3 linked regions of the Struthio camelus genome follow. The protein of the gene in region 1 purifies or fractionates together with the protein of each later gene. This does not show direct contact. Links are inferred from orthologs where the notes say so. Each region holds a gene or a part of one and is shown on either strand. Other genes may lie near its edges. The genes, in order: ETAA1, ATR and RPA2.

Evidence for each region.
Region 2: the proteins of ETAA1 (region 1) and ATR purify together in Homo sapiens (affinity purification with western blotting; 3 studies listed by BioGRID, with this or other methods). This does not show direct contact. The link is inferred for Struthio camelus from reciprocal best matches to the Homo sapiens genes ETAA1 and ATR.
Region 3: the proteins of ETAA1 (region 1) and RPA2 purify together in Homo sapiens (affinity purification with western blotting; 4 studies listed by BioGRID, with this or other methods). This does not show direct contact. The link is inferred for Struthio camelus from reciprocal best matches to the Homo sapiens genes ETAA1 and RPA2.

Annotation. Positions count from the first base shown.
Region 1 is NC_090944.1:142,320,614-142,330,456, forward strand, and holds the start of ETAA1 (ewing's tumor-associated antigen 1), read left to right. Parts: upstream 1-5,811; 5' UTR 5,812-5,892; coding exon 5,893-6,016; intron 6,017-6,848; coding exon 6,849-6,986; intron 6,987-7,293; coding exon 7,294-7,370; intron 7,371-8,985; coding exon 8,986-9,104; intron 9,105-9,451; coding exon 9,452-9,843. UniProt on the Homo sapiens protein: Replication stress response protein that accumulates at DNA damage sites and promotes replication fork progression and integrity.
Region 2 is NC_090950.1:15,506,706-15,517,041, reverse strand, and holds the start of ATR (serine/threonine-protein kinase ATR), read left to right. Parts: upstream 1-5,555; 5' UTR 5,556-5,668; coding exon 5,669-5,727; intron 5,728-7,412; coding exon 7,413-7,504; intron 7,505-7,954; coding exon 7,955-8,098; intron 8,099-8,701; coding exon 8,702-9,591; intron 9,592-10,336. UniProt on the Homo sapiens protein: Serine/threonine protein kinase which activates checkpoint signaling upon genotoxic stresses such as ionizing radiation (IR), ultraviolet light (UV), or DNA replication stalling, thereby acting as a DNA damage sensor.
Region 3 is NC_090964.1:2,833,946-2,844,784, forward strand, and holds the start of RPA2 (replication protein A 32 kDa subunit), read left to right. Parts: upstream 1-6,944; 5' UTR 6,945-7,213; coding exon 7,214-7,229; intron 7,230-7,438; coding exon 7,439-7,551; intron 7,552-7,677; coding exon 7,678-7,779; intron 7,780-7,897; coding exon 7,898-8,011; intron 8,012-9,471; coding exon 9,472-9,546; intron 9,547-10,368; coding exon 10,369-10,482; intron 10,483-10,799; coding exon 10,800-10,839. Other genes in the region: SMPDL3B (acid sphingomyelinase-like phosphodiesterase 3b), read right to left, coding at 423-794, 1,978-2,111, 2,714-2,894, 3,079-3,251, 3,852-3,995, 4,554-4,651, 6,436-6,649, 6,764-6,815. UniProt on the Homo sapiens protein: As part of the heterotrimeric replication protein A complex (RPA/RP-A), binds and stabilizes single-stranded DNA intermediates that form during DNA replication or upon DNA stress.

The sequences.
Region 1 (9,843 bases):
CAGAACAGCGCAGCAAATTACTGCAAAGATGTAGTGTGACATAGGAAGAGTCAGACGTGTTATGTGAGAACAATACGACAAAAGGAAAAGCCATCTGAAAATAAATGAAAAAATTAATAATCCAAAGAGTGTCTAATTCTTATCCAGGCACTCGTTTGCTCGCTCTGTGAATTAGGACCATCAGGCCAGGACACGTAAAACTGGAACAAACCCTGGGTCCAAAATTCAGTACTGCTTGAGGAAGCTGCCAGAACCAACTGTCCTGGAGAAAAAAAAGGTCTCACCATAGAACAAGGGAGGCATCAGAAATACAGCATTCCTCCTGCTTCATTCCTGAAACTAGGGCACCACAATTTGGGGCCAAACCTTCATATCCACTCCAAGCTTGGTCTTTCCCTGAAGCAACCAGTCAGTTCACACAGGGCAGTGGTCCTGTAATGTGGGCGTCAGGTACTGGACTGGGGCCTTAAATCATTATGCATACATGACGAAACTGCTGCCAGGGGAGAACAACCTCCAGTCGCCCCCACATTAAAACCAGCAGCAGTATGTATAATGGGAGCGTAATGGGAGTCACACACGCATATGGAACAGAGAGACTTCATTGTTATGCATTTCCATGTAAACTGTGGCTTATAGCTAATGGGATGCAGACTCAAGGGATAATGTATAGAATTTAAAAAATGAAAGCCTCCCAAAAAAATCACTCTGGTACAGAAACTGTTTTTTCAACTGCAAGCTATGAACAGTTGACATAAAAACAGTCCATCCAGAAACCGCTGAGTACGTTGGAGAAAAACAGAGAATGACTGCACTTGGAGAATTTCATACTAGTTTGATCACTGATTCTTCAGTAAGCTATTTAGCACCATAGGCTAAACATTCTCCTGGAACATATGTATCAGTCAAAAGCTAAGCCTACTTTAAATAAATAATCAGTGCCTATTTGCCTTCTCCAGAATGCCTGATCAAAAAGCTGTCTTCACTGACCATCGACTGCTTTGTTTTTGGTAGCTGACAAAATGCTTTACTAATTTACACTGTAGCGTGTGAGAGTTTTAGCAAGTCTCGATCTTCAAATGCAGGTCAGTTTTTGTCACTGATGAAAGAAATCATCTACAGGATATATTATATATGATAGGATATATGATTAGTATTTGTCAGACTTTCAAACAAGATGGAAACCTATTCCTTCCTGTTCTTTAAAGAATCTTATAACTTGTTTTCTTACAAGGGATAAAAAAAATTCCAGAAATTAAGAGAGCAGAAAAGAAAACCTATTTCTCACTCCTTGATAGCCCGGAGCTGTAATACAGCAGAATCGACATATTAAAAAAAAAAAAAGAAAAGAAAAGAAAAGAGAACGTGGCTGCCGTAATTTTTAAGAGCTGTTTCTCATCCTATCCTCATTTGTATCTTTTCTCCATGTATAAACAGTGAGGTAGCAGAGGGTGCGTCTGAGCTGGCAGGATCACCCAAGATGCATGTCTCCCTTGGTACAGTGAGCAACGATATCGTGGACATGAGAGAAAAAACAGCGAAAAGCTCCTTGGCAGCAGGGCTGGATGCAGCCGCTGTGCAAAGGGGTATGCAATGAGGAATGGCTGCTTCAAGACTCCTCCTGATCTTAGGGCAAGTCTCCCGAGTGCAAGCCAGCACAGTGCGCAAGCGCCCAGGCCATCGTACCTGTTCCAGACTAAGATGCCAGGGAGCTGCCTCCATGCAGCAGTGCGCTCACGCTAACCAGCCCAGCTAAGATTTAAAGCAGAAATCCTACAAACACTGCAGTCTTACACAACTGGGATTCACCTCTTGAATGCAGTTCACCCTGAGCGCTGGAAAACAAAGACAGCTGTGGAATTAAGCCTACGTTATAATACATACCTAAAAGAAGGCCGGCCCAGGAGCTATCTCCTGCTTTCTGTGAGGGAGTGGAGGTGTAGGGCTCACTACAGACCTCTGCAACTTGTAGCATGTTCATTGCCTGACCTAATTCTTCTAAACAGCTGACCCATTTTGGTTGATAATTTCCCTTAAATGTCCAGACACCAAGCAATGGAAAATTTCCTTTAAATGCCAGTTAACGAGCAATGGAAAATGTCATCATGAGGAAGTTATGCAGGTATTTAAGTGCTCTGCTGGATCAGGCCTTTGTGAGCTAAATTATAGTTTTCCATTTGACTTGATTTTCAGAGTGTGATAAATATAATAAAATGATACTCTATGATTTAAAAAAAGGAAAAAAATGAGATACATGTAAAAATTTTTAAAGCTTCTAAGGTTCTTGGATGGCATGGTGGTGAGAAGACAGAGAGAGAGAATGCAGAAGTATAAACCAGGCTACACTTCTGTAAATTACCGTGACATTTAATAACTCTGTACTAAAAATTCTCAAGCAAGGATACTTTGGATATTTTTAAGGTCATGTATCATTTACTGTCTAGGTCAATTTATGGCTCAGCAGAGAGTGTTGCAAACCCTTCCAGACAGCATTTAAAAAATAAAGGTATACGTAACTGTTTGGGCCGTATTTTCCTCATCAGTTTCTGCACTGTGAACATTTCACCTTGGAAAATTAAAGTAACATTCTGTAATAAGTGAACTCAGTATGATATTTCAAGGCAAGTCAAGGGTAAACTTTATAACTAGACTATCAAAATGCTATTAATAAAAGCAAAAATACATGAACGATGCCTGTGTTTCCCTATGGATGGAAAAATTATTGTCCATTAAGTCAACATTTCAGGTACCCTCACCGTTTTTCCTGCAGTCCCAGTGAAGGCAATACAACACATATATCTCCTGCAGTTAACTTGTATAAACTACCTGTTATCATGTACTGCCATAATTTAGTAAGCACTCCAGGGGTTCTGAAGAGGATATATGGATGAGAAGGATTTCTGCAAAAAAAAAACCCAAAAGGCTAAAAACTGTGGCTACAGTATTCTACTCTCATATTGAGTTTTACACAGGTGTCCTAGTTCATTTTTGTTTTGGTCCACAGGGTTGTATTTATAAATGTGTCTTATGTTAAGCATCTAAATTCACTTCTCTGTTTATACAGCTCCCCTCACATCCGGTGGCGCTGTGGTTATTCCCCAGATAATCTACGCTTCAGAAGAACTATTATCTCCTTTTGAGAGATGTGGAGCCAGACTACCAGGACACATCTACACAGCATGAGGCAGCGTTGCGCAGCAACGTCTGGGCCAGCTCTGATGAGCAAAGCTGGTTAGAAGATTTCAGGTGCATAAGCTACCTCATCCAATGCTCCTGTGCCCATCTGCGAGGATCTCCGAGTCATACCCTGCAGAAGAATAGAACAACTGAGGGCAGTCTCCCCCACGCAATGAAGCATGGCCACAGACTCTTGCTCTCAGGACCACTGAAATCTCTTGAGGGCTCCTACAGAACTACAGGCTGAATGCAGTAGTGCTATAAACATGTATATATGGACTGAATGCAGTAGTGCTATAAACATGTATATATGGACTGAATGCAGTAGTGCTATAAACATGTATATATTTTGCTTTTGTAGACATTTGCCTTTGTAGGCAATCAAAGAAACAAACAGGATTTTACAGATCCCAAAAGCCCATGGCTTTCCTTGATTTCTGCCTTGCCAGAACTCTAGCTTTAGAGGAAGAGAAGGGGAGATGATGAGAAGGTGATCCATTTATCAAATTTCCTTAGGTACACAGTACACATGGCTACTCAACTACATAAACTCTTTATTTAACAGTTCCTTCCGTAGGAAATAACAGTGACATGTTTAAAGAACCCTATAACTGTACTGACTTGCAGAGTTTGTACCCAAACCATTTTTTGAAATAAGCTATCCAAGAAATACTAGACTTGGAGAATTTTTCTTTTCACCTAGTATCAGATGTTCAAAATACATCTGCACATTTTCATTTGAGGCAAGGTATGAGTGGATGTGTGTGAGTTTTTTACTTCTTTTTCAGCATTTAACAAAAAATCACTTTTGAAATGAAACTGTAATTTGGAAACAAAAAATAATAAGATAGTCAACTCTGAAAATATCACAGACATTTAGAAACTTTCTGGAAAAAGATAGTGTTTTTCAAATTAAACTCATTATTTATAACAGTTTCTGTCCCCTCACAAATCTTCACATTTTCAATGAAATCGCTATCATTGATTTTCCTTTCCTTCTAGCCCTAGTAAGTATGAAAGATGAACTATAACATAAAGTCACTTCTCTTTGTTAATTAAATTGATGTAATGTGTTAGATACTTTGAAAAACCCCACTAACGATACACACTCCCTCCAAAATAAAAATGTGCTCTTTCAAGTTCTGTTCTCAAAGGATTTTAGAGAGGAACACTTTTTCATGAATATTTTCTATGTTCTCATTACACTATTGGATATTTGTTAGGAAATTTCTCAGATCTTCCACATTTATTTCGTTTCATTTTAGGTCCTTGTCTCATAAAATGCAGTAAAAAGTTCCCAGGCAGTTTATAGTACTATTAAATCTAAAACTAACTTTATTATTCAGTCACTCTCCTCCATTACTCATCCCTCTTGATTTGAAAGCAGGACTCAGAACCACAGCACGAAGAGTTTGCAACAAGTCCCTGGAACGGAGCCTCACCACAGCTAGCCACTGATCCAGCTGCCAGCGCCATGGCAAGGGAGCACAAACTTCCTCCTCCTTGAGGCTACAGCTCCACAGAGAAACCCTTCAACATCACAGACTTCCACCACTACTTTTCTTAACTTAAGAAACAGCATCAGCTCAAGGCTAAGTTCTTAAGCTGCAATGAGATACACATACTTTTCTTCATTAGGAAATGGGAGTTTTTTCATCGTGGAGCTGTTTGGTTTTTCTGTATGTGCAGATATATTTTTTTTTTGCCTAGTTTTGTTAATACAACTTTGTATATGCTGAAGCTGATGTAACAAGATCTCTCATGCAGAACTAGATACACATTAGAAATATTCTTTTTCAAAATTCTTTTACCGTTAAGAGCTCACTAATGTGTGAAAGACCTGTGGCGAATACTCACATTTTATGAATGAGGTTAGTGAACAATGAGCTGGAAGAAAAGCAGAAATCAAAGAGACAGCTCTGCAAAATTCACAGCACTCATTGAATGTGACAGGTGTCAATTTTAATTATTTATGACAGTATTTTGGAATATACTTGTAAACATACGGGAGTACGAAAGGAGACCGCTTTACAATACCCAGCTGCTAAGTGGCCACTAGGAAATGGCAGGAGACAGCAAGGACTTTAGTAACACTTTCTAGTAAGTCTGTTAAAATTTAGTATGTTTTGTTATCTTGCGAGTTGTATCTACTACTACTGTAAATAGACACAGATTCCTCTCAGTATCCTTGTTATCTGTAAACACAGGGCATGTAATCTACATTCACCTATGGCATAAAGGGTCCGTGCAAGCCACTCCCGCACCTGGGCAACGCAACAGCTTTTAAATGTTGTATTACAAACTAATGACCCCCACCAAACCACTAATGGCACCACCCAGGGCAGGGGGGCAAGCAGGGACCTAGGAGCCGCTGCAGCGCTGCCCTCCACGCTCCGCCTGCCCCTTCCTTTCCAGTCAGGAAGCAGCCTGCGGGGCAGCTCACGCCTCCCCCCGCGGCGGGCAGCCCAGCCCAGCCCAGCCCAGCGCAGCGCAGGCCGCTGCCACACTACTCCGAACAGGAGGCGGGCCCGCCAAACGCGGCCGGCAGTTCCCTACCGCGTCCGCCCGCCCGCCTCCGCCGCTGGGGGCCAATGGCCGCTCGAGGCGGCGCGGCGCCGGCCAATCGGCGGCGGCGTGGCGGGCTCCCGGGCAAGATGGCGGCGCCGCGAGAAAGCTGCGGCAGGGGTGGTATGGGGCGCTGCCGGGGCGCGCGCCATGCCCAGTAGCCGGCGCAAGGTGCCCGCCGCCCTGAGGAGGCGCGGCGGCGGCGAGGAGAAGCTCAGCCGGCGGCGGCCGGAGGACCCCCCCGCGGGGGAGGCGGCGGGCGGCGGCGCGGCAGGTACGGCGGGAGCGGCTGGGCCGGGGGCGGCTGTGGGGCCGGGGGCAGCCCAGCCCAGCCCAGCCCAGCCCGCCTCGCCGGCGCCAGCGCCCGTGACGGCGGCGGGCGCCGCTCTGGCCCCGCGCCGGGAGGGGCCGGCGGGCGCAGACCGCAGCCGCCCCGCTGCCTCCGCCAGCGCCGCTTCCTGAGCGGCGGCTGTGGCGGGCTGAGCGTCACCTAACGTGTGCCGCTCGCTGCCGCTCCGGGACCGCACGGAGCTGTTTGCGACTGCCTCTGTCCCGGTTTTCAACCTTTATGCCTGAAGAGGCCTGGGGCGGCGGCGGCTGGGGGAGGGGGGAGATACATGCTGGTACGAAGGCAGGATGCGACCCAGGACAGTTTGGAGGTGCCATGGAAGTTGTGACCCAAATCTGAGTCTAGGTGACAGACCTATGCAAGGTGGGGCGCAAAGTGTCCTCTTGCACAGCTGTGCTGGGTCTTTCCCTTGAAGTAAGCTGAAGTCGCCATTCCTGGGCCTAAGAGGATAGACGGTTCTCGTCCTGGCCTTTAGAGGCTAAGCGAGCATCTGTCGGCATCCTGTAGCGCTCCGCTACCTCTCTGGTGGAGCGCAGCCGGCAAAGGTAGAGTTGCATTCTGGGTTAATAGTTGTGAAAACCACTGGTGTTTTAATTAAAGGAACCCTCATGAGTGTGAACTCAGACCCTCAGTGTGAACTTTTCATTCTTAAGGCTTACACACCATGTTTTTTGTGTCTTACCCTGTTGTATGTTCTGAGTTATTTCAATCTTTTATGTGTTAATGTTTAATAAGCATCATCTTTCTGTTTGCACAGAGTCATGTTCACATAAGACGCCAAAGAGATCACTGAATAGGAAATCACGGATACCTACTTTCAGCTCTCCTGTTAATGATGCTGATAAAGAGCAAGAAATCTTTTGGGATCCTAATTCACCAATTGCATGCAGACTAGGTAATACCAACAAAATTCATACTTCAGGTTGCCCATTTGACGTATATGTTGCAGTATACTAAAAGTTTTCAAATCTGAATTATCCAAAAAAAGCCCCCTTCCTGTTATCACCATGGCAATGGTGGAGTTGGGGTGTTCAGAGGTGATCAGATTGTTTGATTGTGGTTTTTTTTTATTGTGATCCCATAAATTCTTCAATATAGCGCTCAATCAACTTCTGATTTTACCAGGTGTAACTGAATTATTTGAGACACAGGGAGTTTTGTAGTAATGTTTTGCCATTTTTAAAAAAGGTTTTGTTTTTTAGGCAATGAAAAAAAGAAACAGACTGCCAGTAGATGCGCAGTAGAAATTTCAGAAATTGTTAATCGTATTGCTCCTCAGGTAACTATGACTTTCTAAAACACTGCTCTCTATAGGCAATAATCGAGCAAAATTTTGTTACGCTACTCAGTGTTGGTGAAGATGTAATTTTAGCTACAGTAGTCTAGCATGGAAAGAAGCAAGTGTGCAGAAAAGTAGTAACGTGCTCATAAAAGAGAACTGAATTAAAATCACAGCCATAGTATTTGACTGGCTGTTCTTGAGTCACAGATGCTATTAAAAAAGAGGATGCATTAAGAAAAGCAGACTTGTGGCATCTCCATTTTAGGAAGTTTTACTTTCAGAATGCAAGTTACTGTCCCTGTTCTTAGGAAAACAGTTCTGGTATAGTCACCCTTAATCACTGGTCTGTTAAAAGGTATGGTTTCTTCACGTACTGTATTTACTTGACAGTTATTTTAAGCATTCTGAATGATCTTGAAATACACACTGCAGAACTGCAAGGACAACACTGAGGTGAAAGACTCCACAATGATACAGACGTAATACTGTTGCTGTAATTCCAATCAGTTTGCCTTTTTTACCCTCGTACATGCTCTTGATGTCTTCCCAGCTGGGGAACTGATGTCCACAGCCTGGAAAGTGAAAGATGCCCTTACAGTAGTGGGCTTATTGTTTGCTTTTTATTAAGTGCAAGAAGAGAACTGTCATTTCTACAAAGACAGTTTTGTAGTATCTGGCATGCAAAATATGCCTGCTTGATTGACAGGGCCATTTAAACTGTCTTCACTATTTAGAATATTTGTGAGAAATTATACTTTAGAATTTCAAAATCATTGATAAGGGATGCCAATTCCTCTCTGTTTAATGATTACAATGCTGTCATGATTGTGAGTTATTTAGAAATTGGACTTCGTTTGGGGCAATCTGTTGCTCACATCCTTCTTTTTCTTCCTTAAAAAAAAAAAAATTTGACATCCCCCCTCGCCCCAAGCCACCCTGATAAAGTTCAAATTATTTTTTGCTGACTACTTGGAGTGTTTCTTAATGTTCAATATGTGGCTCTGGCCCACTTCTCATTTTACTACTACAGTACTGTATCTCTTAGATTTGAAAATTCAGATCCAAGCCTGAACTTTGAAGCTCTGAAACGACCTCATTCAGTTTTTTACTTAATTTTTTTTTTTGTTTAGAGGCTCTTTGTATGAAAGAGTTGTAATGGAAGAAATCAAAATTTTTAACAGGAAGCAAACAGAATATGATTTTCTGAAATTCTCTAGTCTGTTAATGCTGCTGTAGGTGGAGAAAGACAATGTATCTCAAGTAGCTACTTACTAAAGTAAACTAAAATATAGCTTGCAAAGTGAAAATTGCAAATGATGTGTTAACCTGATTGGGGAAGTAAATATAGTATTAGATTAGAGTGGCAAAATAGAATTCAATTATTTTAATTGAAGTTGCTGCTTTAAATTGATATAATTAAACTGATAAAACTATCAGTAGACGCTGTTGCAATAATCTTGCTTGGCTTGTATTGGTTTAGCTCCTATCTGTGGCTTTGAGCACACTTGTTCCAGTTTAATTGTTTTAGTGACTTAAACGAATGCAAGGTGTATGTCTAGTTCAATCTTTATCTGCAATCAAATTGCTAAGCATTATAAATCTAATCATTTAGGATGAAAAAGCAGCCTGCAGTGGAGGATCCCTTTTAGAGACATGGATTGGTGAGGATGCCATTCCCTGTACACCTGGGGTAGTAAAACTGCGAGCTAGAACAAAGTTAAGCTGTACAAGGTAAGTTCCAATTTTGTCTTGCCTATCACAGCTAGACTTTCAGGAAAACAGATGTATTATTTCATTATGTTTATGTATAGTGAGTAATTGTACATTAGCATACAGAATGCTTTTAACTTTTGGGTTGTTATCTCTCTTGTTAACAGAGTAGCTATCACTGGGAATTGGCAAAAGGAATGCATGCTGATTGTGCACTGAAAACAGGATTCATTCATACTCTCTGTAGTTGCTAAATTACAGAATAAACAGCTGATAGGATAGTGTAATTGAACTTGACAAATTTTTCTCAATAGATCTGATTTTCTTTTATATATATATATTTTTTTGTTTGTTTGTTTTTAATCTAGAGATCTTAAAATAAAAAATCCTGAAGACGAACTCATGAAATTGGCTAAGGAATTTGATAAAAATCTGGTAGAGTTGGATGCTGTTCAGGAACAAGAGAAGCTTTGTCAGGACTTCGTCCAGACTGCCTCAGAGACTTTAAGTAATTGTAAAGATGAAGTACAGATGAAGAACCAGAAATCGGTCCTTGATGAAGTTTCTGAAACAGATAGTACTCTGTCCCTGAAACCAGTGGGAGAGAGCACTGGGGTTCCTGCTGCAGAGCCCTGTCAACCTAGTAGTCAGAAGTCTGTAGACCTGGAGGCTGAAATAGCCCTTCATGCCCTTTTTGATTGCTCTACCCAGAAATGTAGTGGACAGCTGAGCCAAGGACTGTCAGGTATTTCTTTAAATA
Region 2 (10,336 bases), on another chromosome or scaffold:
GTCAAAGCTGGAATCATGTAATTCTACCACAAACATAATATACTGGAGAACAGAGAAGCCACCCTTCTTACTTCATTTTGCAGTCCTCGTTTAAACATGTGTAGCAACAGTGATGCTTAAAAATCCCTTAATAAAGTGGCGTGGCATGACATGACTGTATGGCAGAGCTGTTTATATCAGTAACTTAAGAACTCCTGATTCATACTTAACTTGATCTGGCTAATGCTAGCTGTTGTTTTTATTGTTAATATCCCTTTGCATACCATAACATGACCATTGGTCAACTGTTTGCTCAGTGAATGTCTAGGTTGAAACGAAATAGCGATACAGAGATATGACATCCTACAGGAAAAAAATCTTCAAAACTGATTTTTAGATTCGAAAGTCATGGCACTTGCTTAGCTAGGTATCTTCCCAGCACTAATTTGCAATTTATTGCTTCCTTATCATCAGGCACAGTACACAGCCTGCTACAGTAATAATCCTGTTTGCTTGGATCAGATTCCTTTTACTCGTTGGTATTCCTGGTCTACATTTATTTAATCCACTTATTTAGACGTAGTTACTTTTGGATTTTTAATTATTATCAACAATTATCGAGGGTGTGAAGCTTTTCACATGTCCCGGTGAACTCTACGAAAATATTTTCTTTAATTAGCTAGCGCTAGGGAGGCCACTAACGTCACAGACTTAGACTTTATATGAGCATTAAAGGATAAGGATATGGGTACAACCTTTTTAGTTTAGACATTTTCCTATCATGTGCTGCAAAGGTGATATCCATCCCATTGATACAAATCCCTTGGAGTAGTAGAAGTCTTAAATACTGGGAAAACACACACAAAAAAAACCATACCCTACTGGGAAAATAATGCTACAACATGCATACATTGGCTTAATTTATTTGGCTTCTAACAAAGGCAATAGAAGGACAAAAACCTGTGACTACCCTTTCTCCTTCCATTTCATCGGTTTCTACAGTGAGCCACGGAAAGAAAATTAGAGAACTCTCGCATTTAGCAATAGCCTGGACATCTTTTATCAATATTACCAAGCCTAAACTCTATTCTAGTCTTGAGCAGTGTGAAACATAGAATCAGATAGAAAATTATTTCTCCTCTCATGAAAGCTTTATAGGAAAACAACAAATTTTTACTATGAAAATAGCTAGCACAGTTATTCGGATTTTAAGAATTTGTTCTTAATAAAAAGAAGAACCTTTGTAATTAAAACAGCTAGAACTTTCAAACAAATTTAGTTTAAATGACATTTTAAATTAAAACACTGCACAGTTTTCTCCTGCCATGACTAGCACAGAGTTTTGCGTGAGCCTATGAAACCACGCAAACATTTTTCCCAAGGAGTCATTATTGTCAATCACATTCCCTAGTTATGGAATACTTTTTTTAATCAGCATTTAAAATTTTGAAAGTTTTGCCTTAAGGAAGTAGATTCCAAGCATCTTAGTTTTATTCCAGAATTATCAACTCAGGAAAGTCTTGACTTTGTAACACTAGTCCCGGTAATAAATAAATTCCTATGAGTTTACTCCAAAGCTGCTAACCTGAAGAGTAATATTCTTCTACTAGAAAGCAAAAACCATAAATAACAGAGATATATATACAGGCAACTACTTTTTATCAGTAGCGTCTGTGCATAAGCAAAAAACAGTGGCTGCTACTATACAAATAATAATGCCAGGTTCCCAAAGAACATATAATCTAACACACTATCTCTCTGAATTACTCAAATGTTTAATTTTACTTCATGAATAGTCTTAAGTACGTAAGCAGGATTATTCATATTAAAAATATGTGGATAAGTGTTTGCAAGACTAGGACCTATGTGGATAACATAGAGTGAAAGGGGGTGTTAAAAAACAGTTTTATATATTTTCTTTCTTTCCTCACTTTTGTCCCCTCTTTCACCTGTCAGTTTTTGCCTAGTGGTTGAATTTATATATTCCTGCTTTCAGGATGCCAGCTGGTGAATGGCCCTTACTGACATTTACTATTTCAACTTTTCACTATTCTTTTTTTTTTTTTTTTTTTTTTTTTAAAATCATCAAACCAATATTCCGGACTGAATATTATTTTGACTTGTGCCTCTTCCCTCTAGCCAAGTTGACTAGGCGACACAGGCATAGACAAAAACATAGCCTTCCGGAATATACGTTTTTATGGTGTACAGGAACAATTCAACACGTTCAAAGGTCAGTCAACTACTCTGACAAGCACTTTCATGACTATATATGGAAATAAGTTTTCAAGTAATCATACAGACCATTGGGTATTATTACAGCAACCATGCAAGTGAAAAACCATAAGCACACCTTGATATTACATAAAACCACTTAGTACAGTTCAGAGGAGCTCACTGCACCATCTTGGCTGAACTTCCTCTGACCACCGTATCAGCCTGTACAATGTTTGTATTTCACGGTTCATGAAGACATCAAGAAATACACAGGTGCCTTTAGGTCATCGTAAATCACTTGTGTCTACTGACAAGGGACAGCTGAGATTTAACTGCAGTCTTATTAACAGGCACCATCTCTCACACATCCACGCAGTGGATGAGCCCCAAGAAGAACAGTACGTTCACCTCTATCTTTGAATTAAATTGCAACAGAATGAATAAAAGCAGAATCAACATGCCTTTGTGTGTAGGACCTGCTGGCCCAAAGCAAAGTCACTCTGTGTTACTCAGTGTGAGTATGAAACTTAAGTGAGTGCCCTGGGAAGGTACGTGGAAAAAAAAAAAAACAACCAATGCCAAAGAAGATGCAGGCCTAGGTGTGGGAGAATCATGCAAGAAGTGAGAGGACTGTTCAAGTTGGCGGGGGGGGGGGAGGGAGGGGAAGAAATTTTTAGCAGATATCTTGACACTACTGTACACACTGCATTTGATACCTAGCTCTAACTCCCTGCATGAATTTTCCTGAGTTTTGTAAGCTGGGAGTTCTGCACACCTATTTCACCAATATGGATCTGCACTGGAAAAGAAGATACAAAACAGTCTCAAGGCACACTAATTTCTTTAGTCATGAGGCACGCTCTCCAGATGGATGATAATACATCTCCCCCTCCTACTGAGGACACAGAGACATATAAAGTATAAAATAATGAGATGAGGGAGAAACAAGACGGAGGTGAATTGAAATTTTACTGAGCTTCTTATTGTGTGTTCAAGAAAAGCAAGGGGCAAAGCTAGGTGTTTTTGGTTTTGTGAGTGCCCATAAAAATATTTTAAGGTGAGCATCGAGAAGACATCGTTTATCTTCACAGCACAAACACTGTGAACCTGGGACAATGCAGTTGTCATTAGGGGCACTAGAGAGTCCTGTTAAGACCAAGGTAACAGGAAGAACATGATGATATGGTCAGAAGGCAGCACATGAGGCTTTGTCACTGGGAGAGAACAGAGGCTCCTGGCCTCACTACCACTGAGGGGTAGGGAGCAGGAGACACCTCTTTAGTGAATTGCTGGGAGTATTTACTACAAAAAAGCCTGAATTACACGTTTGAAGTAACTGCAACATAAATTTCTATAGAATTCTACCTATGCCAAATGAAAGTGTTTCTGCAATAGCTATATTAGCATGAGCTCACTGTTGAATTGGGAGACTTCCAGGCAAAAGTACTTATTTGTTGTTGTCAAGCACTTTGTCTGCCCCATTTATTCTTTATAAACAAAAAAACATCTCTCTATGCTTCAATAAATTTATTGTATTTCTTAGGATTAAAAGCTGAAGAATATGTATGTATTCTACTCCAAATCTTCTTAGGAAAGATAGCTAAATATCTGTTGGGATCCCAAGTTTATCAGGGATGACACCGAGACTTCCATTCTACTTCAAATTAGCAAGTAGTGCAATTTACACTTTCTATGCAGTGATTGCTGTCTCAGAATTGGCAGTTTACACTCAGATTGTTGTTCTAACAAGAAGTATATATTTTTATTTAAATTGTGTAGAAACTTCTCTGTTCAAAATAAAATTGACAACAAAACCCAGACGTACCTTGTCTTCCTGTATCATTGAAATTCTACTTAAGAAAACGTGTAAACCGTTTTCGCTCCTGGGAATGAATCTCAAAAGGCCAATATTTTACAGTCAGCTGGTAGAGAAAATTGCAAGAAGCGTTGAAAAATTTAAGATGAAACTCAATTATTTTTTGCAACGTTTCTTGAAACATTCTCATTCCTTCCTATGTTAGCAACCAGGGTACTCTTTGATCTTTGAAAGATCAGCAAAACTTTGTATGAAACCGTATACAGGTATTTTGTAGGATGAAAATAACCAGGTGTAGCTGAAAAAGTTAATTAGCAATAGGTTCCCTAAAAGCATGCACCTGCAATGAATCAGTAACAGCAACACACAGATGCATCCACTTCATTTCCTGGGCTGTTTTACATGCAAAAGATATAGGCACAGTGCAGTGGAAACAGGCAACAGAATTACAAGCCTCTGAGAGGATTTTATTTCAGCCCAGAAACAATGCTAAGCAGTTCAGAAACAAATGCAGAAAGTATTATGCTTCTGAATCAGAAAAGCAAAGCTCAGACTTCAATTTGCCCTTAAGTACTCTTCCTGCTACTAGTATCTACACACAAGAACGCTTTTTGTATCCTCTCACGTTCCGAGGTCTCACAGACTTGCTGCGTGGGCAGGGCTCCCACGTATGGGCCATACAGTGACAATCACCATTACATCCCAGGACTGCTACTAAAGCACGCATTTAATTTTTCCTGTAGCGTAAGAAAGCAGGCTACTTTAAGTACATTGCACAACGCTTTTAGGGTTTTTCTTTAAAGCATTTATGCGTTCAAATACCTTTGTCCCCTCAAAAGAACACGAACGGAAAGTAACGCACACTGACAAATAAAAAATAACCACTATATTTTAAATATCCTTCCTGCTGCTAGCTACGCGGAGCGGCACAGAGCCGGCGGGCGCCAAGACCCCGCACGGCCAGGCTGCGCCCTCCCTCCCGCCTCGTCCCGTCCCGTCCCACCCCCCAGGCCCGGCGCCGGGCCCCAAACCCCGGGCCAGGCACCGGTACCGGCACCGGCAGCCGCTCCCTACCTGCTGCTCCTGCTGCCGCGTCCCCGCCGCCACCTGCCGCCGCCGGGGCGGGGCGGGGCGGCAGCGCCCAGGGCCAACGCCGGGGCGGGCTGCGGCGGCGCCGTTTCCCGTGACCCGATAAAACAGTCTCGCCGTTGGCGGAATTAGCAGCCGCGGGTGCGGGCGGGCGGGGCAGGCGGCCGTTGGCGGCGGGGCCTCCGCCCGAGGGGCACCGAGGTTCCCTCCTCAGCGCCCCTGTGACAGGCTCCACTCATGGCTGGCGGTATTCCTCCCCCCCCCCCCCCCGCTGTACGCTTGCCCCCTTTCTGTTTTTACCACTTTGAGCGCTGCGACGGCGAGGAGCGCCCTGCTGCCCTCCCCTGAGAGGCCGCTAAAAACCTGACCTGACCCCCTTCCCCCCCCCACCCCCCCCCGCGGGGCTTTCTGCTGGTGACGAAGCGGTTAAAATTTCAGCCGCGCGAGGGAGGAGGGGCAGCGGGCAGAGAACCGGCCCGCACGAGAACGGCGGTGTTCTGAGCCCTACCGGCCGCCGTCCGCCGGGTGCCGCCGCCGCGCCGCGCCGCGCGTTTCAAAGCGGGAGCCATGGCCGAGCAGGGCCTGGAGATGGCCTCCATGATCCCGGCCCTGCGGGAGCTGGCCAGGTAGGGCGCGCCCGGCCCCGCAGCCGCGTCCGCCGGCCCCTCCTAGGCGGGAGGGCTTGGGGGGAGCGGGTGGCTGTGGGGAAGTGGAGAAAGTAGGTTCTTTCCCCACCGCCGAGGGAGGCCTCGCGGGGCCGGGCCTGCCCCGACCCGACCCCTCAGCCCGGGGTGCAGCCGGGCGGGTGGGCCCCGTTGGGCTGCCCGGGCGTAGCGCCCGGCCTCCTGGGGAGGGCTGTTCTGTTGTGCTTCCAGCGGGGTTTCGCTGAGAATTGAAAGACCTTAAAGCATCTGTTAGTCCTCTCTAGCGTGCTTTGCGCTACTCGATTAGACGCCTTACTAGTTTAAAGCTCCTCTAGTCAGAACTGCATCTGGAAGTTGTAAATTGTAATCGTCATTCGCTGCTGCTCAGTTAGAAGAGTTGAAAGTGAGATGTTAAACGTCCGTGTTTGAGGCATGCACTCCAGAAGGTCCCTCGGGATGATGGCATGACTGGAACAGCCTTCTTTGTTCCATTTGTTCCTTCATTTTTTTTTAAGCTATGGAAAACTCCTTTCTGCAGTACCTGAATGTCTTACATTCCCTTTAGTGCAGTAGTTGAGTGCTTTATAACAACCACATAAAGCAAAAGAGTAGCATGAGCACCGGTTGTGCAGATGCCAAAACGGACTCCATCTTTATGTCAGGGAGGGGGGAGATTGTGGCAGAGTTGGAACTTGGATCCCTTGCTTCTTGAGGTAATGCCCTGATCAAAGGTGTTCTTGACCTTTTGTGGCTGGTTGGTTAAACATGTGTACAGAGAACATCTTGGTTTGTTGTCGTTCAGGTTACAGGAAAGATAGCCTACTTAAATAGGTGGATGTCTGAGTTTTCTGTAAGCCTGCTGCAATCCAGTCTGCAGCCTTCACTGAAGCAATCCAAACTGTGCTTTGCAAGTGTCCCTATCCTAGCTGCGATCTTCATTGCATCAGGGGAAGTGAACCTACTTAACCCTGAGACTACAGTTATTTGCTACACATGCCCTCACACATCAAAAATTGCTCTTGTCCAGCTCAGTTCATTAAAGCTGCAAACACTAAACTGGCATACAAGCTTTTCACAATTGGGGCCTGTATCAGGGCCATCTATACAGAGATCAATGTTTGGCTCTAAAGTGGTAATGGCAGCAATCTGCAAAGCTAAAAAACTGTAGCTGTGATTGTGGTAGGCAACTAATGGCTGTGGAGATACAAGTGTATGCTGAAGATTTGACCTGGCAGCGTCAGCTGGTATCTTAGTTGTCAGAGCTGCTGCAGTCGATACCTCTTACCTTGCGTACTGACAGCTAGTCAGCTGAATAATTTTGGCAACTCTAAAATTAAAATAGGTTCCTAATTTTATTTTTCTGTACCAAAACTGTTCTGTTGCTTTGGAGTAGTGTGTATAAATCCCTTAATGAGTCGGAGATAGATTTAATATATATCAAGCATAACTGCATAGCCAAAAATTTAATGATCTTCAGCACATCATAAAACTTCATTCTTTTGAAAAATGAGGAAAAAGAGAAGCAGACAATATATTGGTCACTGAAAAGGGGAATCAATTTGTATTTCTCTTTGAAGTCTTCTAGAAGTAAAAAGTACCACTTTCAGTGTTTAACACTGTGTTGCTGAGATACACTTTAAATAGTTATTTTGTATTTTTAATTTTAGTGCTAATCCAGAAGAATACAATTCCGTTGTGCAGAAACCGAGGCAAATACTCTGCCAGTTCATTGACAGAATTCTTACAGATGTAGATGTTGGTAAGCATTGCACCTCTTGCTTTTAAAATGATCATCTGTTTTGGGTTGTTGTTGTTTTTTCCTTTATGTAATTCCTGCTAAAAATAAGTTATATATGAGTTACAATTTCAACAAAAATTTAATAGCTGAATGACTATTATGACTTACTTAAAATAATCTATACGATAAAGTCTTTGCTGATGTGATATGAAGTAATGTGAGTCAAATGTATAACTGTTAGAAGAAGTAACTATGTGAAGTGCAGAGGCGTATGAGTATATATGCTCACAACATTAAAAATCTTGTGCTTTGCAAATTTATAAAGCACTCCTAACTGATAACTCTACAGATTTAATACCACATAATAATATTTTATGTAATAATTTTCTTCTTTCCCTGTTAAGTATGAACAAAATCTGTGAAGTTGCTGTGTCATGGTACTAATTCAGAAATCTGCCTTTCTTTTTTCAGTTGCTTTGGAGCTTATTAAGAAATCTGATTCACAGCCAAGTTCTGTAATGCTGCTTGATTTTATTCAACATATCATGAAATCTTCCCCTCTTATGTTTGTAAACATGGATGGAAATCAGGAGGAAACTGAATGCAGTTGCATTGGTGAGTTGGTTGAAAAATTTTATGTTGAAATTTGGTATTTACGTGATTTAAATTTTCTGCCCGTGGATCATGCAAATCTCCCTTTTCCCCGTTTTTGTTCTCTTGCAAGTTCAGCACTTCATGTTTATAAGTTAATCTTACGATATCCTTTTATAACTGTAAATTGATTTGCACTTGTGATAATGGAAACTTGTCGAGATATATACCAGGACAGAGTCTGACCTTATTCATTACTGTTGTGTAGTCATTAAGATACTGTCCAGTTCCTGTTGGAAAGGAACCCATAGTCATCCTGAACCCATAGTCATTTCCTAAGTCTTTTTTAAATATGCGGAAAATGTAGATGAAATGATACTTAGCCTGAAATCTTTTTGTTGTTGTTGTTGTGCCCTTTTTTTCCCCCACTTTCCCTCTTCTTCAAAGAGGTTTCCTGTCTCTGTGAAGGCATTCTGTTTATCAAGCCTAGATGCCTTTATCGCAAGGAGATTTATGGTTTTAGTGATGAGCAGCTTGTTTTTTTCCCAAGAAGGTGGCCTTAATATGAGCTTTTGTTTTTATCTTAAAAATTCTTTTACGTGTGCTCTTTCTTTTTTATTTTCCTAGAATTTAGTAATTGGATCATAACAAGGCTTCTCCGAATTGCTGCAACTCCAAATTGCTGTACGTTGCACAAGAACATCTGTGATGTCATCTGCTCTTTACTGCTACTATTTAAAATGAAGAGTTGTTCCATTTTTGAAGTACTAACAAAAGACTTGCTACAGCTTTTCCAAGATTTAATTTTCCTGCATGAAAGAGACACACAGAAGCATCTCTGGGGAGATATGCTGGTCTGGCCAGTGGCTGTAAAGAGATTTTTAAGCAATTCAAGTGACAATGTTGGATACTTAAGATTGGCACCGTTGCAGCTGATGGGCATGCCCAATGTAGAAAGTTTGGAAGTTATATTAATGTCTGTTCTGACAGACATTGCTGCAGATGTGTTTTTTGTAAGACAAGATATTATTCTGTGGGGGATAGGTTGCTCCTTGTTGGAGTATGGTAGTCCAAAAGTTAAAGCTTTGGCAATGAAATTTTTAATAAAATTAATTCATTTGGGAGGACCTCCAGAACAGCTGGCCAGTGTTTTCTTCAGAGTCTTTTTTGGAATTCTGCAGTCAATACTTGAAATGGATGCTGAAGAAACAGGACTCTTTGAAGAACCGCTCTTACTCTTGGTGAGGACGTTGTTGCCATTTGAAGCAGATTCTTACAGAAATATCGAACCTGTCTACTTGAATATGCTACTCGAGAAGCTCTGTGCGTTGTTTGAAGGTGATGTGTTCAGGTGTCTTCAGTCTGAAAAGCTAAAAGCTGCTTTTTGCCATATATTGCAATATTTTCTGGAGTTTGTTCCAGTTGGCTATGAATCTGCCTTGCAAGTAAGAAACGTCCATATCGGTACCATATGCAAAATTTTCGTGAATGCACTTGGTACTCAGGAAGAACAAGAGGTAGGTTAATTTTAAAAACTCTTTTTATCATGAGAACGGGTAATGCACAAAAACCTACATCTGTGGAAAGAAGAAATTCTAGGAATTATTGTTTTTGTTAGACAACTGGATTGATACTCTCAGCTGTTTCACGTGATTTTACAGGTTATAGCTCTTTGATAAGCTGGGTGTGTCTGGACCCTATTTTTCAGATGCGCTAAAGTAGCGAGAGGCTATGCGGGCACTATCGCGCTGTCTGTAATCATAGTATAGAATAAGGATGTCGCAGTAAAACTGGCTCAAACAAGGGGAGCTTAAATAATTTCACTTCATCTGAGTTGCTCTTTCTAACCATGTGCTTTTGGTCATATTTGTTGGGGGCAGGGAGACATAAAGGTTTAAGATTAAACAACGAGGTGTTGGTGTGCTGAGTCTTCTACTCCATACACCCACATCTGTATCCATCTAATGTCTCTTGAACTTGGGTCTACCTTGATGGCTTCAGTAGCCAGGAACAGTGGCAGGAATGGAGAAACTAATTCAATAATCCCAGCAGACAGCTGAACAAGCTGAATGAAAGAACCGGCATTAGCAATTATCCCTGATAGAAACTCAGGAAATGTCATTACTTATAAAAGCTTTCATCATGTAATTAAGACCATTAAGTGGAAGGGTTTTTTTGTTTGTTTGTTTTTTAAGAACTTTGTGACACTTTTGATATTTTAAGTCTTATATTTTTAAGTTAGAAACAATGTTATCATGTCTT
Region 3 (10,839 bases), on another chromosome or scaffold:
AGAGGTCCCTTCCAACCTTGGCCATTCTGTGAGAAATATATCTGGAGGCAGACTGCCTGAGAACGTATGGTAACTCACAGCTCTCATACATTAGGAGGTCAAGTTAAAATCTAGGCAGAAGCCTGGCCTTGATCTGCTCAACTGTAAGACCATCTCAGAACTCACAGTTGAAGGAAGGGAAACTCCCTGATATAGGTCAGTCTGGCATGAAAAAGCTTCATGGCAATCACTGGCCTTTCCCAATACATCAAGCTTTACTAGCAGTGTTTAAATCAGCACTGTAAAGCTTTTACTAAGAGCCACTAATTTTGTCTTGGTTTCCGAGTAAGTTCTCAATGCCAGAAAATAGTATTCACAATTGCTGATTCAAATGTGCTGTGAAGCATGTCCTCTCTTCGTTCACTTCTGTTCTCTCTCAGTCATTAGAGTGCTTGCTGGGGACTGAGGAATGCTAACAGCAAGCAGAACAGCAAAAGAAAAACACTGGTGATGGTGGAGGCAGAGCTGCTGGCTTTAATACACTCATTGTATCGTACAAAATCAACTTCCCTGATGGCACAAACATGGTCAATGCGGCAGGCCTCCTCACACAGGGCAAGGTCATATTTGACAGAGTTGAACTCATAATACTGCTGCAGATACTGCGTATCCTTTGATATCCTCTCCAGCACTGTGTGCATGGACCGGGCAGAGCCATCAGGGACTTGGAAAGCTTCCGTCAGCCTATACTCTTTCTCCCACATTGGGAACATCGTATTAGCATGAGTTAGATTTAAATAGTAAGTCACCATATCCTGCAGGGAGAAAAAAATATAACAAGGAAAAAAAAAAATGAGGAAAGGATCAGCCCTTGAGTGAAGCAGTTGACTGAGATCTGATCAGCCCATTCTCCTAGATGCTGGTGTGTAGCACAACGAAGAGCTTTCAGCAGCAGGCAGCACACCTGGTGGGAGGTAAGCTGCCTCCCAACAGATGCTTCCTACCAAGATGTGAACCTGAGGAAAGATGCCTCAAGTGAGAGCATTCAGCACTCACTATAAAAGCAATTTTAGCCCATTTTACTATTGTATAAGTGTTGAAAGGTTGACTTTTCTCTGCTTTTCCTCTGCTTGTATTTTGAAACATCAGAAATTTTGAGCCTGATCTGCTCCAAAAAAATTCACTCTGGTATTCATTATCAACATTGTCCTCTGGCAGGAGGAGCAGCTGGAGAAGTGTTACAGGGTTGAGCAGTTATTTACTCAAACGTGAACAAAGTTAAACAAAAAAGTTCTAAAAAACCTTCTGTTTGCAAACCTTTTCTGTTTTTTTTCTGTTTGCTCTTTTTCTCTCTGCCTTGCTTCACTAGCTCTCTAGCTTTGCGCAGTATATTTTAGGACAGACAAGCATGCATTTCTTATGCTGCAAACATGCAAATACAGTATCTGCAGAGGTGCTTTATCCCTTGCAAAGAAAGGTACAAGAACACCATCCTCCACCTTTTTGCAAATGAAAGACAAAGGAAATGGAAGTCTTCGTCTTCCCTACAATTCAACTAACTTCTGATCCTATTACAAAATGAATTAATTCAGAACATAGGTGGGACCCAAATAATTTTCTAGACAGCTAGAGTTTTTGAAGGGTGTTCAGCAAGCCTGTTAGTCCCCAAAGACAGTTCTGGAATCCACGTTACCTGGGCTGTAAAGCAAGCGTAAAAGGAGATTAATTGAAGATATGAAGAACAAACAAGTCTGAACTCTCTTGCATTGCCATGGGACTCATCCCAGCAGGAGGCCTGAGCCAGTCGAATGTAGTGTCATTGCCCTTACTCACTGACACTCTTTAAAACTTTGTGCTAGCCACAAGACTGAAATACCTTGTTTTACATCCTCTGCTACATAGCCTCTTGGCTCCCTGTAGTCCTGCTTGTTAAAAAGAGGTGGGAGAATTAAAGCACCCAACTGAGACTGCAGTACAAAGCATGATGGTGTCCCCTACCTTTACTTGAAGGGTGTCTGGATCGTAATCAATCACCCGGATCCCAGGGTTGTTGGCTCCATTGGCCACTCCAGGTAACGTTGTTTTCCAAGGAGTCACTCCAGGGGCTAAGAACATGACATTGATTGGAGAACCTTAATAGAAAGACAAAAGAAACCATGAGTCAGAGAGGTCTGGCTTGGAGCAGACAACGAGCATCCTGACCACTGAGCACCTTGCACCCATTGCTCACCAGATCCAGTTACAATAATGCACGCAGAAAGATCTGATGCTATTCAACACACTGAGATTGAATACGTGACATTTCCAGCTAAAAGCAGGCCTTCTGCAGCTTGGCATGAGTGGAAGACTCTACAGTGAGGGTGAGCAAGAGAACCACCCTCAGTGAACGAGACCCAAAGAGCCATTGTGAAGACCTACAGTTGCTCCCTTAGGTCTCAGCTAAGGTCCAGAAACCATCAGTATGGAGCAGGACGAGCAGCAAGGCACTGTGAGAGGAAACAACAAATGAGAGGGGAAGCAGGAAGGACAGCTGGAGCTACAGGTCTGGGTGGGGAATCCCATCCACTGTTGTGTCTTGTTGACCAAAGCATTTTACAAGACGTTTTAGAAAGCAAGACGTAAATGAGCCTTTTCTGACTTGTTGGCTGCAGTCACCGAAAACCCTCTTCAACAATGATTTTTTGGGGACTGAACAGAGCTATCATGCAAATACTTGGGTAGCCAGATTTGATACCTGTATCACTGTAAAACATCCGAAAGCTGTCAGTGTGGTGGTGTCCAAAAAACTGGGCAGCAATCACTCTGTGGTGCCTCTGCACTATTTTCAGGTATCGTTCATTAAAGTTACTCCGGAACCAGGGCTTGCTTCTTTTCTTCTCGAAGAAGCCAGGAGGGATGTGCCCAGCAATGTAAACCTACAAGAGCAAAGAGCTGCGCTGAATGTAGATCCCATGCTTCCCAAAGAGAGCACTGGCTTGCTGGTCCTTGGCACACAAGAGAGATCAGGAGTGAAAGGACCTTCCAGGCTGGGAGAAGCCCTCTACAAAGGCATGGGGGCTTTTGTTGTTGTGTGGGCTTTTTTTTTTTTTTTTTAAATACCATTTCTTCTGCTTTTGAGGCGTTGGTCAATGTTTCTTCCAACCACCGGAACTGCCCTCCAGGATCTTCCTCACCAGCCGTCTGGTTATTCTGGTCATAGTACAGATTGGTATTGAGGACAATCATTCGCCCACTTGTATTTGGGCTGGGCAGCTTCTCACTGTAGAAAGCAGCTGTAAAATGCAACCAGCAGGAGAAAGAGCTGGAATTCTGGCCACACAGCCAATTGTGTCCCCAAATCCCCGGGCTTTTACCTCTCTCAGCTCTCCTTGGCAATAGTCACAGCAGAGTCACTATCTAGACAAGGTGCCAGCAGCTCTGACTGGTTCCAGAGTAACCAGCAGCTCTGACCAATCCAGGATATGGATTTGGTGTGACTCTTCCCTGTGTCTTCTTGTCCCGCATATGCCACTCAAGGTGAAGAGAGACCCTGGGTTTTAAGAGTATGTGCAGGACAGTCCAGGAGCTGGGAAGCTATAGATAGCTACTGTTGTGGCTTTCTTGAAAGATCTTTTTTATTTTCACTGAAGCTCACCATCCTCTGCAGGGACACTTTCCTAAAACTCTAGGAAAGCACGGAGAGACTAAAGCATAAAGAAAGTCCTTTTCCCACATGCAGGAAAACTCAGTGCTAGGAATCAATCTTAAATTGGACCCTTCCTCTACAAGCACTGCGGCTTGGGGAATAAAAGCAGAGACAGCACGTTCATGGTGACTTTCCCAACCACCCTATCTTCCCAGGACACTGCTGACACGGGCTAGTGGTGCCACACCTGCTCTGAACAGAGGAATGGAAGTATCGTTCAGCCAGGAGCGCCACAGTTCAGCTGTTTGGTTGTAGATCCTGTGCTCCTCCCCTGGAAACTGATTCTTGGGGTGGAAGTCATGATTGCCCATCACAGCGTAGACTTTAGTTTCTAGAGAAAGAGAAAAGGAAGCACAGAGGAATCCAAGCTTGCTCCAGAGTTCTTCAGCACCAAAGCTCTCTAGAGAGCTTACAGACTCAAAAAGAATAGCATGGCTGGAGAGCTTCATAAAAGGTTATCATCCACACTAAACTCCTGTGGTTGCACGGACTGGGGATACAATACTGCAAGACCATGTGTCCTCAGGGAAGCCACCCCAGAGCAAGACTGCTATGTTTTTACAGATGGAGTCAGTGAGATTTCCTTGTCAGTAATACTTCTTCTCCCACTAAGCGAGAATAAATTTTGTAGCTTCGTTTTTCTTAATGAGTAGTTATAGAAATGTTTCTTTTCCACTCTTCTGAGTGAATTAATCTGAAATAGCAAGGGTGTGTTAGACATGCCTCAATCAAACAGCCTGTACAGCAACTAGGAAGAAGACAAAGTAGTCCTAATGCCCACAGCATTTCAGTGCCTTTCCCCTTCTTAATTATATCATTTCTCCAGAATGGTAAGTTCTTCCCATGAGACTTTGTACTCCTCTCCCCTATTCATTCTCTCAGATCCTACCTGGAAATATCTGTTTTATCAGAGAAGTCAGATTTTCAATTATGTGCAGAACCTGTTTTTCTCCAAGCTGCTCATTGGGGACATGAGGAGTATCATCTCTGGAGAAAACAAATGAACAAACAAAAAAATAACAAACAAAAAAACATTATGGGGCACGAATCAGCACTACGTTGACTGGCAAGGGCACTAAGAGAGTTTCAAGGAACTGCTCACAGTAAAAACCTGCTCTGCTTTAGTCTACCTTGAAAAACCTATACACAAGCATAAGAAATTGAGCCTTATTCTACCTCAGTGTATTTAACAGATGCTACAGATGACTGGCGATCTTGTGAGGAACAGCGTTTCACAGTCTGGTAGTAAATTTGGTCAGCAGTGGTAAAACAAAACTCTTTGTTTTATTTTCAATGGAAGAGTTGTTATCCTGCTGCTCTCTTGAGTACAAACGGATGCCTCCAGTAAGCCAATGACCATTGAGATCTACCTCTAAAAACCTAGCAGATACACATTTCAATGTTTTCACTAATATGCTTTTAGCATATGTAGACAATATCAGCTGGTAAGGATTATAAGCCCATTGAAAGATAAGACTAAAATACAGGAAGATTTTGAAGAACGAGGATAAATAGTTTGAGAAAATGTAAAACAAGACAGAAGTTTTAAAGACCAACAACTATTTCTAAGTAGGAATGATCATCTGCACAAATATATAAAGTGGAAACAGTGGGTTAGTCAACAGCGCTGCAGATCAGGATTGGGAGTTACAAAAGCTCATAGCGAACACTGTGCTGTTAGAAGAAGCAGGAAACATTACAGAGGGATGTATGAACTTACAGAAATCATGCCAAACAAGTCTTTCACTGTTTGCAAGTGCTATTAGGGCCTCCTGTAAGGTGGCCACTTCTGGACACCATACTACAAAAAAAGCTCCATTTGGGGAGGCTCTTCATAGTTGTAAAGAAAATTAGCTCCTTTTTGAGGTAAGTCTTCCAGGTTCCTCTGTGTAGTTTGAAGAAATGCTGCAAGCCCTTCTCGTGGTGCCTCTAACAAGGCAGGACTTTGTACACCAACAAAATGAATACGTTCCATTCCCCCAAGCATTTTCAGGTATTCAAAATTTGTGTGAAGTGAGACTAGGCTGGCAACAATTGGAGAAGAAGAAAGGATGGTGAATTCTAACACCTTCCCTCATCTTACCTGGAGTTTTTCAGAGAATCCCTCATTGCTGGGGCTCGTTCAAAGCATGGCCTCCCACTCCTAACAGCCTCGCTGTGCCCTCAGCTCCGTACAGCTCCACTAGCAGACTCCATTTTGTACTTTAAGGCGTATCCAAATCTCACCTCTCCAAAATGGTTACCTTAAGAACCCTGAATCTACCGTGAACTCTTCACCTCCAAGTCCTCTGGCTCCCCATTCTCTAATAACAGCTCTCAGCCAAACACTGGCAATGCCCAAAGCACGCAGGATCATGTCATAAACTGAAAGCGTGAGTAAACACAGAACCAGTACTACCAATTTTTGGATTATTTGGGCTTCCCCCCCCCCTTGTCACAAGAAGATTCCTAAAAATGCAAACATGGGTATTCACCTCCTAGAGCTTCAGCAAAATGATGGAAAACACGAGCCTAGAAGAGCTGGGATTTCCTCATTTTTACACGTAAAGCTGAAGTACAGCTTCAAAGCCTATCCTATACCCGCTTTTTTCTGAGGGACGGGCCGGTGAAGCGGCCCGACCCTTGAGGGGGCGGCAGAGGACACGCTCCGCCGAGCCCCGCGCAGCCTCCTCCGCCGGGCGGGGCGGCCGCTGCCTGCCCGGGGCCAAGTTCCGAGCTCAGCCGGTGGCGGGGCCGCGGCCGCCCCCTCCGCGCCCGGCCTGGCTCCTCACCCGGTCCAAAGGATGAAGTCGGGCTGGCGCAGGATGCCCCTCATGGCGAAGATGGAGGAGTTGAGCAGGCGCCAAGGGGAGTCGCAGAGGTAGCTGCCCCAGGGCCCGGCGGCCGGCACGGCCCGGGAGCCGCCCGAGGGGCACACCTGCGAGGGCTCCGCCGCCGCGTCGTAGCCGGGGTCCCAGTGCAGGTCTGTGATGTGCCAGAAGCGCCCTGCCGCCGCCGGGAGAGACGCCGCGACTTAGCGGGGCGGGCGGGCGAGCGAGCGAGCGAGCGAGCGAGCGAGCGCCCGACAGCCGCCAGCCGCCCGCCACCGCCCCCTGTTACCTGCGAGGGCCGCGCAGAGCGGGCAGAGCAGCAGGAGCGCGAAACGCTTCATGTTGGCCAGGTTCGCTCCTACCCCTGCTCCGGCCGCGGCCGCGGCCCCGCCCCGCCCCGCCCCGCCGCGCGGCCCCGCCCCTCCCCTTCCCTCCCCGCCCCGCTGCGCCGCGCGGCCCCGCCCCTCCCTGCCCCTCCCCTTTCCTCCCCGCCGGGCCGCTCGGCCCCGCCCCGCCCCGGGCCCTGCTCACCTCGGCGGCGGTCGGGCTGCGCCAGCACTCAAAATGGCGCTGTCAGCCTCCCCGCCGCTTCCCCCCACTGGAAGGAGCCAGAAGAAAGGCGATTGCGATTGGCTGACCGGCCGGATTATCGGGCCCGCGGATTGGGCAGCTGCCGGCGGCGCGCGGGGGGACTACGCGGGTCCGTCTCGCGCCTGCCGTTAGGCCTGGCGCCGCCGCAATGTGGAGCGGACAGGGTGCGGGCCCGGGGCGGTGGGGGCGGCCCGGGGCTGCCGGGGAGCTGCCGCGCAGCCGCCGCGCAGGAGCCGGTGCCCAGGGCCAGCGCGCGGCGGGCTGTGCTGCCGGCGAGGGAGGAGCCGGGGCTGCTGCGCCCGGTGGCGGCGGCGGCGGCGGCGGGTAGCGCGTCTCTGCCGCCGCCTCAGGGTCTCTCCCTCCCTCTCCTCAGGTACCTTCGACACCGGCTACAGCAACGTGGGAGGCCCGGGGCCCGCAGGCGGCTACATGCAGTCCCCGGGAGGCTTTGGCTCCCCCGCAGGCACCCAGGCTGAGAAGAAGCAGGTAGGCCTGGAGCGGGGCCTCGCCGGGCCCCGGGGCGCTGGGCCGCGGCGCTCCGCCCGCCCCCTGCGGGGCGAGGGCCAGGCGCTCGGCCCGCGGAGCTGACGGCCCCTCGGCATCCCCTTGCAGAGAGCCCGCTCCCAGAACATCGTGCCCTGTACTGTGTCACAACTGCTGGCTGCTGAGCAGGTCGATGAAACCTTCAGGATCCGCGACGTGGAGATATCTCAAGTAAGCGCCCAGGGTGGCCACTGGGCAGAGCTGCCAAACCCCGAGTGGGAGCGTTGCGAGTGGCAACAGCTTTCCCGTGCCAGTCCCCCACTGTAACGTTTTCCTTCTTCCAATGCAGGTCACTATCATGGGGATAATCCGGCATGCGGAGAAAGCACCGACAAACATTCTCTACAAAGTAGACGATATGACAGCGGCCCCGATGGATGTCAGACAGTGGGTTGATACTGACGTAAGCACCAGTGGGGAGTACAGCGGAGAGAATGAGCTTTTGGATGATTCTTGTAACACCAGTTGGGTAGGAAAGATGGAAAAGATGGAAAAGATTTAAGTTGTAAGCAAAGAATGGAAGAACAAGAATCTAACTTTAGCTTGGTCCTTGTTGCGTGGAAGAAAAACTCAAAATTTAGGTTTTCTTAGTCATTTTCAGTAATTCTTTGTGATAAACACCCCATCAAATTCTCTGTGTGTGTTATGTTTGTGTTTATTACCCCTCTCTTTGTTATGAACTTAACGTTTTCTTGAAAAAATAACGTGACTGGTTTGGAAAATGTTTTGGGAATAATGTAACTCGAAAAGCTGAGGAAAATGTTGCAGTAGCAGAGGTCACCAGTGTTGTATATGAGTCTCCTCCTGCTTTATAATTCTACGCTTCTACATTGAAGCATGCTGAACAATTTTTGAGGTATTTAAAGGCTGAAGCTTGAACGTTGCTTCATAAATGAATTGAGAGGCATTTACAAGAGGCAATGGGCAGAAACTGAACCACAGGAAGTTCCATCTGAACCTGAGGAAAAACTTCTTCACTGTGAGGGTGACAGAGCATTGGAACAGGTTGCCCAGAGAGGTAGTGGAGTCTCCTTCGCTGGAGCTATTCAAAACCCGTCTGGATGTGATCCTGGGCAATATGCTCTAGGTGACCCTGCTGGGGCAGGGAGGTTGGACTAGATGATCTCCAGAGGTCCCTTCCAACCAATTTCCCTTCCAACCTAAACAATTCTGTGATTCTGTGAGAGATGAGTCCTCAATACCTTTGTGTAGAAACACAAGGACAGAAAGTATCTGAACAGAGATTTTTGTATATGGCTCAGTGACTGATAATACCGGTGAGTATCATCATTGCTGATGCATGACTCCTGAAGTGATGGTAGTTTTCCACTGGATTCTCATGCTGATATAACAAGCTTTTAAAGCTGGACCCTGTTATTAAAACATATTTGAAGGCAAACAGCTGAGTTCAGACGAACAACTTTGAAAGAGTAATTAAGCAAATGTTCAGTCGGCTTAACGACAAGTTTATCATAAATTAGAAGAGGATTCTGTGACTGTTTCCATAACCGTAACCCAAGTTTTATAGCTGAACACTTCCTTTTTACTACTTCAGGGCTTTTTCCCTCTTGTTGCTTTTTGAAGATCCCCCAGAAGCGGACAAAGACATCGGAGCGCTGTAATACAAGTGGCTTCAGCTGCTCTCAGATATGCAGTGTATTCAAACAAGAAGAATTTTTTTTCCCCTTTCACTTAGTTTTTCCATTTTTCACTTACACTAACTGTTCGTATTGGATGTAGGAATGTATGGCTTTTGTGTTTGCTTGAGATAAGCCTCTTTTCTCAAATCACTTATTGTGATAGTGGATAAATGGAAATGTGAATCAGGAAAACCTTGTTTTTTCCCCTTTTCCTTTCTGTTAGGAGGCAGGTGGTGAGAATGTTGTAGTACCTCCAGGAACTTACGTAAAAGTAGCTGGTCATCTTCGGTCTTTCCAGGTAAAATCATGTTATTTATGTATGACTCCTCAAGTAATGAGGTTGGAGCAGTGGCTTGAAGGATTACTGATCTTGTAAAGTGTTAGGGTCTTTGTAGAATATGCAGTTAATCATGATCTTTAGTCAGCCTTTCCTTGAATGTTTTTGGCAATGCTGTTCCTAAGTGCAAAGGACAGAAGATCCATTTAAAATTTCATTGTTCATCCGTACATTGTTTTCTGCTGAACAGTACTGGCCACCACATTCTTGAATGTTTGTACTGTAGAGCTTAGATTTTATTCTGGTCACTAGGGGACACTTTATAAAGGGTAATAATGTCATACAGTTACATCATAATAGTCACTGTTTAAATAGTGATGTGTGCATTAAAGCAAAGTGCAGTTAGTTACTAGCCAGTTAGAAAATCACACATATATATATATATATATATATATATATATATATATATATAAATATATATATTTTTGTTTTAAGGGTTGTCCCTTTGTCTTTGTGAATTAATCTCCTTCAAATTCATTACTTCATTATTGAGAAAGGTAGTTTTTTAGCACAACTCTTAAAAGCATCAGAACATGGCTTTTCATAGGGTCAAAAGCCAGGAGCCATCATTCTAAATTCTTATCCCATCTTGTGAGAAGTTACTTATCTATACTGTATTTCAGAGCTGCATATGAAAAGTAGTCCAAAGACCTGGGCACTAGTTACAGTGACAGCAGACAACCCCCCTACCCACTACTATCCTTGTTCCTAGAAATAATGATTGGATTGGGCGTGTGGCTGTTGGCTGTGATTTAATTTTTTTTCTTTTTGCTTCTTTGAAAGAATAAGAAGAGCTTGGTGGCTTTTAAGATCATGCCTCTGGAAAATATGAATGAATTCACCACACACATACTAGAAATTGTCAATGCACATATGATCCTCAGAAAAAATCTTATGGTATGTACGTGGAGATCTTAACCCTTACACACTGAATGGGGGGGGCTGTTGGTTATTTTCCAAAGAGATGGACCTCTTCTTTCACTGGGGAAAGTGTATTTAAGTTGTGACGCTGAAGAGCTTTAAATTGCTGGAGGGCTACAGTGAAGGTATGACAGGAATCTCGGCTTCCTTGGAGGGAAATTGTGCTACAGTCAATTTCCAATTGTTTCTTTGGGAATCTATTTTTAATTACTGCATATCTGAAATAACATTCAGTCTTTCATCCCTCAGGCTTGAGGGCAGTCCATGTAACCGTAGCCCTTTTACTCTTTTAGTCAGCATCAAGAATGCCTCAGTCCCTTTCCTCTGCTGGGA